Drosophila melanogaster: one gene and its partners. The protein of the gene in region 3 purifies or fractionates together with the protein of the main gene of each other region. This does not show direct contact. Each region holds a gene or a part of one and is shown on either strand. Other genes may lie near its edges.

What was found.
Region 1: the proteins of CG14715 (region 3) and Nacalpha purify together in Drosophila melanogaster (affinity purification with mass spectrometry, with the first as the bait; one large-scale study listed by BioGRID). This does not show direct contact.
Region 2: the proteins of CG14715 (region 3) and yip2 purify together in Drosophila melanogaster (affinity purification with mass spectrometry, with the first as the bait; one large-scale study listed by BioGRID). This does not show direct contact.

What each region holds. Positions count from the first base shown.
Region 1 is NT_033778.4:12,759,039-12,762,744, reverse strand, and holds Nacalpha (nascent polypeptide associated complex protein alpha subunit), read left to right. Parts: upstream 1-1,745; 5' UTR 1,746-1,940; exon of another isoform or gene 1,941-1,944; intron 1,945-1,952; exon of another isoform or gene 1,953-2,018; intron 2,019-2,220; exon of another isoform or gene 2,221-2,223; 5' UTR 2,224-2,229; coding exon 2,230-2,883; 3' UTR 2,884-3,052; downstream 3,053-3,706. Other genes in the region: CG12374 (uncharacterized protein), read right to left, coding at 1-160, 223-359, 431-592; Dgkepsilon (diacyl glycerol kinase epsilon), read right to left, coding at 3,227-3,346, 3,402-3,706. UniProt on the Drosophila melanogaster protein: May promote appropriate targeting of ribosome-nascent polypeptide complexes. Required for correct localization of the osk/oskar protein to the posterior pole during embryonic development.
Region 2 is NT_033779.5:9,913,263-9,917,016, forward strand, and holds the start of yip2 (yippee interacting protein 2), read left to right. Parts: upstream 1-1,990; 5' UTR 1,991-2,085; coding exon 2,086-2,104; intron 2,105-2,362; coding exon 2,363-2,529; intron 2,530-2,789; coding exon 2,790-3,718; intron 3,719-3,754. Other genes in the region: Srp54 (splicing regulatory protein 54), read left to right, coding at 1-1,327.
Region 3 is NT_033777.3:11,672,221-11,675,577, forward strand, and holds CG14715 (uncharacterized protein), read left to right. Parts: upstream 1-2,000; 5' UTR 2,001-2,061; coding exon 2,062-2,208; intron 2,209-2,271; coding exon 2,272-2,541; 3' UTR 2,542-2,703; downstream 2,704-3,357. Other genes in the region: CG42327 (uncharacterized protein), read left to right, coding at 357-904, 1,008-1,242; CG18476 (uncharacterized protein), read right to left, coding at 2,735-3,357.

The DNA of each region.
Region 1 (3,706 bases), on a different chromosome or scaffold from region 3:
CTTGATGTCGCGACCCTCGTAGGACTGTCCAATCACCTTGCACTCCAGGAAATCGTGGGCAGCACACTCCTGATCGATCCAATCGTAAATGGTGTCCAGAGTGTGGTAGGTCTCCCATTCCATCTGGGAATCGTCGCCAACAGAGGATTCATCTATCAATCTGCGAGGATTCAAGTGTAGATTTTTGTAATGTTATAACTCATCTGAGAATCTAGTACTCACTTCTGCAGATCGTCGACAATCACTTCGTAAACAATTTCGAGGAATTTAAGGGTCTTCTCGAGGGCTCTGTGGAACAAGGGACCAACGATCACATTGTATTTGTTTCCAACAGCACCCAGTTCGTTGAGGAAGTGCACCTTTAAATTGGATCAAGTCAAGACATACATATATGATTTTCAGAAATGGAATGGAATTTGTATGTACTTACAGAGATGTGTTCGTGAATCTTCTTAAGCTCCTCCATCTGCAAGTTCGTCTCAATGGTCAGCTGATAGATACGGAAGTGGTCGTACCGGGCGGCCATGCGACCAGGTGCGGACTTGGCCGCCACCATGGCCACAAGGGTTATCAGAAGGATTGGTAGTTTCATTTCGGAGGTTTGGTGTCTTGAACGTTACAGCGTTCACTGTGAGGAGTCCCTTCACAGTCGTGCTTTTTATTAGCTCCAGGAGTGGCCACTCAAACGGAACGTTATCTAATGGCGATAGGGGATCAGTCATCTGGCGTGTGTCTCCTTTGATCTAATCGCCCATCCAACCTACCACAAAGTAGCTCTGGACTTTGTCTTTCGAACCAGACGTGTCTAAAGATGGTTGATACACAAGAAAATTTAATTAAAGTAATTATAAAAAAGATTTAAGATATTTCAACTTGGCCAAATAAACTTATCCCGAAACATGACCTAATTTTTTATGTTGTATTGTTTTCGAAAGACCAGAGTATATGCAAATAACCTAATTAAAATTTAACTAATATTATCAATTTCTTAAGTTCATGTAAAAACTTATATCGAATATCCAAGTTACCTTTACAAATACTAGTATAAATGACAATAAACTGGTATCAAATTTTTCTCGGTGAACTTCCTCTAACAAAGTCAGCGGAGTCAAATTTGTAAGTGAAATCATGCACCGAGTGTGGAGGCACTCGCCTTATCAGGCATGTTCAATTAATTAAATACTCCTCCAGGCGTCTGCACGTGAAGGAGCACTTCGAGAAGCGTTTGTAGAATGCACTGGCAAACTGAAGATCGTCATCTTCAAGTGACAGACTGGGTGGGGAAGAAAAGCCGTCAAACATTCGATTGTGAAACCATTCATTCGTTTAATTTTACTATTTAAGCAGTGCAGTTATTGCTAGTCACTGCAGAAATTAATCATGCCACTGAGCCTAATCTGTGATGTTCCTTTCCTTCCCTTTGAGTAAGCCACTTAAAATGTTGCGGTGTTATCAATTTGTTTTTAATGTTTTTCTTTTATGTAAAATTATAACTGCATTATCAAAAACTAAAATATTACGTTAGTAGAAGATTGCAAGCAAAGGTGACCCAAACAGTGAACTACACCTTTGAAAAAATATTTAACACTTGCTTTGAATAATTACGAAAAAGAACTAGTTTCTTGGGATATTATTGCTTTTTAAGCTACTCCCATAATTGTTTATAGTTCGATTATTTCAGCAAGCCTTGATAGTCAAATTAAATTATAAATTTTTAGTCATAGTGCTTTACTATAGAGGTGAAAGATTAAAAATGTATTTTGAAACTGTCATTTTTTTGAAAGTAACGTAATTATGAAATAGAGTAGCCACAAAGTTTGAATTTGTCATACTTCATACGCATACGTTCACACTGACAGAATATATCGCTTGGATTTAAGAAAAATCGTGCTAAGCGACAGTCACACTCCCCTCCGCCATATTTCTTTTCTTCGTTTCCGGTAGGTGTGTGTACTCCGCATTTTTCGACTTCAATTTAACTTTTGCCGAAATATCAGTGAATTAGCGCCTTAAATTATGTAAAATATCATAGTTAAGAGTTAGATCTACGGGGGTAGCGAATTATTGATTTTCCAATTGAACTTGAAAAATCAATACCAACTGACCCCCGCTGAGACACATCGCTGAGCCTTTGAACCGGCACCAGATGTTTTCCCTTAGCATAATTGATACTATTTGCAAAGCAATTACCTAACCTCGTGTTCTCCACTTGCTTCCCCACAGATTAAAATGCCCGAACTGACCGAAATCAAGAGCGAGGCTGCGCCCTCCACCTCCGCTGAGGCGAAACCCGAGGACGTCCGCGTTGAGGATGATGGCAGTGATAGCGACTCCGATGGTGGCATGCCTGGTCTGGAGGAGGCTGTAGCGGCCACCACACAGCTGGGTGGAGGTGCCACCGGTCTGCCCATCGACCTCGTCTCAAAGGCCAAGCAATCGCGCGGCGAGAAAAAGGCCAGGAAGATCATGCTGAAGCTGGGACTTAAGCAGATCCAGGGCGTCAACCGGGTGACGATCAGGAAGTCGAAGAACATCCTGTTCGTGATCAACAACCCAGATGTGTACAAGAACCCCCACAGCGACACCTACATCGTGTTCGGTGAGGCCAAGATCGAGGATCTGTCGCAACAGGCCCAGGTGGCTGCCGCCGAGAAGTTCAAGGCCCCGGAGGCTGCTGGCGCTGCAGACAGCGTGGGCGCCACCACATCGGTGGCCCCCATTGCCGAGGAAGACGAGGAGGATGTCGATGACACCGGCGTGGATGAGAAGGATATCGAGCTGGTCATCACGCAGGCCAACACGACGAGGGCCAAGGCGATCAAGGCTCTGAAGAACAACAACAATGACATCGTCAACGCCATCATGGAGCTTACTATGCTTTAGAGCGGGCTTCAGCGTTAGCTGCACTCCTGATTTTGTTGTTTACCCGCCTTTCGATAATACTGACCCAAATGTTGTGCATGCCCCTCAAGGGGCAGCATGTTACACCAGTCGAACATTTAATTATATTTCAAAAGATTGCGTCTTAATAAAAATGGATTTATTTCAAATCAAATACGATTGCGTGTATTTTTCGACTAGTTTCGGTTTTCCACTAGGTGGTGTGGGTGTCTTTACTTGCCTTGCTAACCGAATTCGATTAAGTATACATTGAGGTTCCAGGTTAAGTACTTTGAGATTAGGGACTGGCACATAAGGGATTCTATTCTGTATTAGCTATTAATGTTCAGGTTGCAGCCAGCTTGAGGACGCGGGCCTGACTACGCGAGGAGAGGCGAATATCCGCTGGACTCTGCATCCAGGGTTCGCCATCCGCCTGCATTGGCACGGTCTCCTTGACTTGTAGCTAAAAAAAAGATTGTTGGTTAACAAATATTCGGTTCCATCACTGCAGGGCTTACCCTTATTTGCTTGGCTTGGCCAATTCGCACTGGTTTGCTTATATTGCACTGCAGTTGGGCAATGTGGAAAGAGGAAACAATGCCGAACACCTCCATCATACCATCGGAGATGGAGTTTACAATGCGCACTTCACCATTGGCGTTGCTTAGCTCGCAGAGCTTGCAGCCAGCTCCCCATGAGTCGATATTTAGGAACACCAGCGCCTGCAGCTCAGGCAGTTGCACTGGCTTGTTGTCCAGATACAAGGTCAGCTTTTCCTCGATGTGTTCGCAGCCAGGTTGCATCACCTGTTGCGTTCCGAAGG
Region 2 (3,754 bases), on a different chromosome or scaffold from region 3:
CAACACGGTGTTCATCGATCGCGCCCTAATTGTCATACCCGTTCTGGCCATACCCGAGGAGTATCGGGCCCTGGAGATGCTCAAGAACGGAACCATTGTGCCGGGACTCCAGAAGCCGGACTCCAAGCTACCGCCCGAAGTCATTAACCGCATCGAGGGACAGCTGCCGCAGCAAGTGATCAAGACGTACGACCCCAAGTTGGTGGAATTCAATCTGCCGGAGTACCCGGCCTTACCCTCGTTCTACGATGCGCGCAAAATCGAGGAGATTCGGCGCACCATTATCGTGTGCGATGTTAAGAACGAGTGGCGGCTAGACGATCTGATGGAATGCTTTCAGCGCGCTGGGGAGGTGAAGTATGCCCGTTGGGCCGAGAAGGATAACAAGACGTACTGCATGATTGAGTTCTGCGAACAGACCAGCATTATTCACGCCCTGCGCATGCAGGGCCAGGAGTTCAAGGGTGGCCATCTAAGCGTCTACCACTCCACGTATTCCATAACCAAGCCGGAGGCAAAGTCGAATGAGGCAGCGCAGGCTGAGATTGAGGAGGCCATGACCATTGTGAAAGAGGCGCAGAGTATGATCTCAGCGGCCATTGATCCGGTAATTGGAATGCTCGCTAAGGACAAGCGCCGCAGGTCGAGATCACGGTCCCGTTCCCGGGACCGTCGCACCAGTCGATCCCGCTCGCATCGTTCCACATCGAGACGCCGTTCCAGGCGTTCCGGTTCCAGAGAGCGACGTAGTGTGTCCCGATCACGCCGCTCTAGGTCGCGTGGCAAGCACTCGTCCCGTTCTCGCAGCAAGCGCTCAAGATCACGACACCGTCGCAGCTCCTCACGTTCCAGGAGATCACGCTCCCGTGGCGGCAAGCACTCTCGCTCCTCAAGGTCGCGTGGCAAGCGCTCCAGGTCCCGCCATCGCCGCAGCACCTCACGCTCACGTAGCTCGCGTTCCCATGGCACCGGTGGAGGAGGCAGTGGCAACGGCAAACGTTCCCGATCCCGCGAGCGCAGCAAGAAGTCACACCGCAGCGAGAAGCACTCTTCACGTTCTCCCCGATCTAGAAGCAAGCGCAGCTCTCCCTCGCCGCCGCCAGCTACCGGCAGTAAGTCACGGTCCAGTCGCAGCAAGGATCCGGTCATCGTTTCCGCCAAGTCATCCCGGCGGCGCGACCGCTCCCGTACTCCCGAAACTCGCAAACTCAAATCCATCTCTGAGGACACTGAGGTTAAGAGCTCACGATCCAGCGCCGATTCGAAGTCACGCAAATCGGTTAGTGTCGAGAAGTCGGACAACATGGACATCTCCAACTCGCCCTAGACCTAGAGAGATTGCATACTACTTTATAATAAATACAGAACTTAAGCAACCCCGTCTCCAGTACAACCCGACACCCATTGTCCTCAATGAGATTTGTATTTCACTCAACTCTGTCATAGTTTTCAAGTATAAAGTCTAATTAAAACTGAAGCATTTTCTTTCGTAATGAAAAAAATAGTACATACAAATATGAATGATATCGGTATCATAGCAGTACAATTTTTTTTAATTTTTTGCCAAGTACGGATTGTTTATTTGGAAACTATAACAATCTTATTGTCTTCTTATTAGGAAAACCCAATACAAATGCAAGTTAAATTAATAAAAAACTTTCTAATGAAGACCAACTTTAAAACATTGTATGATCAACATTTTGTAAGGAGTACTTAAGTATGCAAAATTGCTTTGATAAATATACATTAAGAACGCATTAAAGAGACTTGTATTTAAAAACTAGAGGATTGATTGAGTTTCATCAAAAATCGAAATTCAGCGATGGTGACTAATCGTCACTAAGAACAAAGGAAGGAACAAACTGCAGCTAATTTTGCACAGTGTATTCTACAGCTGTAATCGGTGGGCTTGTCTCACTTTGTTTGTCAGAGAGCGGGGTAAAGCTTTTCGAGCTTTCATCCAATAATATGTCGGCGATGGCGGCGAATCGCGACCAGAAGTCGAAAGTTATTGCAGTGCGATAGTCGCCTTTACTTGCATTAATTTATTTGTTGTTTTATTTAAGAGTGAACCCACCTTAGAAAATGTCTGCCGCAACCAAAGGTAATTATGTGAATCCTTTAGGATATGCCTATGCTGTTGGAAGTCTAGATAAGAGATGATCTCGCTAGAGAGATCTGAACTTTGGACTCGTTGGTGTCTTATCTGATGCTATCCCCCCCCCCCGCGTCCAGCCGGTTGCACTTTGGACCTGTTGAATCGAAAACAAAAATCCGCCTTCGTTCGAGCTAAATTTGTGCTATCACTACGCACATTATATATGTTATACATATGTTCGTATGTTTCTTCTCCTTTGTAAAGGTATCTATATTGTGGCTGCCAAGCGTACGGCCTTCGGAACCTTCGGTGGATCCTTGAAGGGCATCAACCAGACCCAATTGCAAACCACGGCGGCCAAGGCTGCCCTGGATGCTGCCGGTCTTAAGGGTGAGCAAGTGGACACCGTCATCGTGGGAAATGTGATCGCGGTAAGTTGGATTGAAGATCCTAAAATAGAAACTCTTAAGGCGTCGGATTAAAACAATATTAAGATGTTATTAAACTAAAAGAAATATGTAAATGTGATAAAATACTTGTACATCTGGTTATGTAAATTAATTTACTCGATATTTATTTGTTATTATTGCTTAATTGCAAACTCAGTAGATCAAAAACTGGAACTACATGCTTATATTATGTTTTTTTGTAACTTGTAAGTCTTAAAAATCTCTTCTCTTCCACTTCGCAGTCCTCCTCCACCGATGGTATTTATGTGCCCCGTCATGTGGGTCTCAACTGCGGTGTGCCCATCGAGAAGCCCGCCCTTGGAATCAACCGGCTTTGCGGTTCCGGCTTCCAGTCGATCGTAAACGGAGCCCAGGACATCCTGGTCGGCGGTGCCAAGATAGCCCTTACCGGCGGCGTGGAGAACATGTCACAGAGCCCTTTCATTGCCCGTAATGTGAGATTCGGAACCACCTTGGGTGCCAGCTACAATCTGGAGGATGCTCTATGGGCTGGCCTCACCGATACCTACTGCAAGCTGCCCATGGCTCTGACCGCTGAGAACCTGGCCGATCAGTACAAGATCAGTAGGGAGCGTGTGGATGAGTTCTCTCTGCTCTCGCAAAAGAACTGGGAGAAGGGTCAGAAGGAGGGAGCATTCAATGCCGAGATCACACCCATCAAACTTAAGGTCAAGGGAAAGGAAGTGGACTTTGTGGTGGACGAGCACCCACGTCCCAAGACCACCATCGAGGGTCTGAACAAGCTGCCTTCGCTGTTTAAGAAGAACGGCGTTGTGACTGCCGGAACAGCATCCGGAATCTGTGATGGTGCCTCCGCAGTGATCGTGGCCTCCGAGGAGGCGCTTAAGGAGTACAACCTGAAGCCTCTGGCCCGTCTAGTGGCCTTCTCCTTTGTCGGAGTCAAGCCTGAGATCATGGGCATTGGCCCAGTACCCGCCATTCAGAACGTCCTGAAGGTTTCCGGCAAGAAACTGGAGGATATTGATCTGATTGAGATCAACGAAGCCTTTGCTGCCCAGACATTGGCTTGCGCCGATGCCCTGAAGTTGGATACCTCCAAACTGAATGTGAACGGAGGCGCCATCGCCTTGGGCCATCCTCTGGGTGCCAGTGGCTCTCGCATCACTGGTCATCTGGTTCATGAGTTGCAGTAAGTTTCCGTGGAAATTTACAACCTGTCATAAAT
Region 3 (3,357 bases):
CAACTGCATTCAAGCGCGACGTGGACGATGCAGTGCAGCGCATTCATGCGAATCATTTCGAGCGCTCATCGGCATTGCACCTGGCGATAACCTAAGCATGTCGAGATTCAAGCAGCAGAGGTCTGTTGTGCGATTTTATGGTATCGTTTATCTGAGAGGCGCGCGTAGCTGATCGCCAGTCATTGTGTGGGCAGGGGTAGAGTTAAGCCGCAATCGGTTTTAATTGATGGTTATGTCATTACTCAACCTCGCGTCGTCTTTTTGCCGAAAAACGCTAGATAGCTTCAAATTCAAATAATACTAGTATGCTATCCAATGGAAAGACATCATTTTGATACCTTTTTTAATCACTTCAGGGCCCGAGGGATGCACCCAACTACTACATAGCCTGCCAGGCGCCGCTGGAGAGCACGACCAGCGATTTCTGGCGCATGATCTGGGAACAGCAGTCGCGGGTGATCATCCAGGCGACGGATCTCAGTGAGAACGGAATTGAGAGGTGCGCCGAGTACCTGCCACCGTCGGCGACTCTGGACAATCATAGCAGCTATGGCGATTACCAGGTGACCCTCAAGCATCGCGAAGTCAAGGATCGCTATGCCATTTCCACATTGGTTCTGAAGCGAGTGGATGGCGAGGAGAGCCGTGAGCTCACCCACTACTGGTACAAATGGCCTGAGGCGGGTGTACCGGCCGAGGAGGCGCCCATCATCGCCATGCTGCTGGAAGCGCGATCCTCGCTGAAGTCCTACTCCCTTGAGCAGGCCAACGAGCTGCGCGAGAAGTCCGCGACCCTGGAGACGTCAATGGATGCGGACGGCAGCAAAGCCGAGGCGGGCAGCACGTCCAGCCACGAGATTAATGGAAACATCTCAAGTCGAAGCGGAACACGAAGTCAGCAGGGGTAGGTTGACATAATCTCCATCCATTCATATCAAAGCAGTTGTTGTGTGTTGCATGGCTTTTTAATGTTCTGTGTCTTAACTTCTTCATCTCTCCCCCTGCAGACCGCTAACCGTTCACTGTTCTCCAGGCACGGGACGAACCGGTACCATTATAGCGTCGGACATGGCCATCCGCAGTCTGGAAACACCGAAGCGGTCCGTGGACATCCCCCAACTGGTTTACTACGTGCGACGCGGACGTGCCAGCGCCGTACAGACCAAGGAGCAGTATGAATTTATCTACAAGGTGGCCAGCATGTATGCGGCCAAGATCACAAATCTGTCCAATGACAACTGAAAGCCAGATGGCAGTGTTAGCGGCAGAGCCCATCGAGTGGAAACCGAATTTGCGATTGAGTTCACCTTTCACCCTTACAGCACTGATCAATGGGACCCTTTGTAATAATAGTAGCTATGTTTTATACGAAATATTAGTGTAAATTAGTATTATGCTTGAATGTTGGCACCTAATTAAGCGTAGGCTTCGTTGTATGTCGGGCTTTAAATATCATTTAAATTGTATGTATTCCTTTATTATTGTGATATAATCGTACATTCGTATATCTCCTGATAATCTGTTGCATATTTATAATGTCAATTTTTGTTTTTGCACTGTCACGCGCTTCGGGGCCATATAATCCGGAGCAAATGATCATTATTTGGAGCTCTCCTTGTTTTAAGAAAGTCAAATATGTAATCAAACAATGTGTGTATCTATTTTAAATGAGCTTTAATGTACGTAAGTTATTTTTAAGTCCGAGCTGTACTATACTCATATTATTGTAAATTACAAGAAAAAATATGTCCAGCAGTGGTTTTTGAAGTTTTAAATTTCGCGGGCTTCGCATTTAAGTGAGACCTTTTTTGATTGGGTTTTAACTATGAACCGATACTACTGCACTTCTGATCTTTCTCTTATTTACATAAAATTTCTTTTGGTTACTAATTTTTTCAAAGTTAAAAAAAAAAAACAAGTTTTAATCTCTTAATTTCGTTGAAAACTATTTGAGTTGTTATATTTATTTGGTTTTATGTGTGCAGTGGGAACAAGTTAAATTATTGTAGATCTCTGGTCACACTAAACCGCGAGTGTTTTTTGATACTGGCTTTCGATAAGATGAAGTTAACTTATATTTTGTTAATCTGCGCTTTTGTGGCCGCCTCCGCTGCCAGCGATCCGAAAGTGAAGATTGGCATTAAGAAGCGGGTGGAGAACTGCACCCGGAAGGCCAAGGGCGGCGATCTCGTCCACGTGCACTACAGAGTAAGGGAAATCAGATAAGGAAGATCTCTAGCCGACCTAACCCCGAATTTGGAATCATTCTAGGGAGCACTGCAGGATGGAACAGAGTTCGATAGCAGCTACTCCCGCGGCACTCCCTTCTCCTTTACCCTGGGAGCTCGGCAGGTGATCAAGGGCTGGGATCAGGGAATCCTTGGTATGTGTGAGGGTGAGCAGCGAAAGCTGACGATTCCGCCTGAGCTGGGATACGGAGCCAGTGGAGCGGGTGGCGGAAAGATTCCCCCCAATGCGGTGCTCGTCTTCGATACGGAGTTGGTAAAAATCGAACCGCGCTCTGGATCTGAAGAGCTGTAAAGCGAATAGGGCCACAAATAGGCATTCCATGCTACACCCAAAGTTTACTTTCAACTAAAGTCATAAACATTTAATGCTCAAATATTTAAAGTAGTAATTTGTCTTGTTTCTGAAGTGATGCCACGCCACGACCAATAAATAATAATGTCATTCCTTTTATACTAGACCAAATTGTATTTATTGCAAGAGCCCCTTACTTTTGGCGTCTCAGCCACGCTTCCACCTCGTCGAAGTGACGCCGCATCAACCGATGCTTCTCCAGCGTGCTGCTCTGGATGAAGCGCTCGCCACAGGTGCCGCACACGAAAGGACATTCGCCGGTGTGCTGCTGGAGATGAAGCTTCAGGTCCTTGGCCTGACGGTAACTCTTCTCGCAGTAGGTGCATTTGTGCGGCTTTAGGCCGCTGTGCGTAAGCATATGGCGCTTGAGCTTATCGGAGCGGGCAAAGTCCTTGCCACAGACGGTGCAGTGGAATGGCTTCTCGCCGGTGTGCATCCGGCGGTGCGAGGCCAGCTCTGAGTGGCGGGGAAAGGCCATTTCGCACAGATCGCACTTGAAGGGCTTCTCGCCAGTGTGGCGTCGCATATGGGTCACAAGAGCGGCGGCTGATCTCGTCTCCATTCCGCACAGGGAGCAGAGGAAGCGCTTAATTGCCTCCTTGCGCTTGCGGTCGCCGTTAATGTGCACATCGCGAATATGATTGTTCAGGCGCGACTTCATCTGGTACGTGCGATCGCAGTGTGGACACTGTAGCAGCGGTATTCCGTCCTCAGTGGCATCCTTTTCCAGGTCACCGGTCCCTTGCGTGTGTCTGT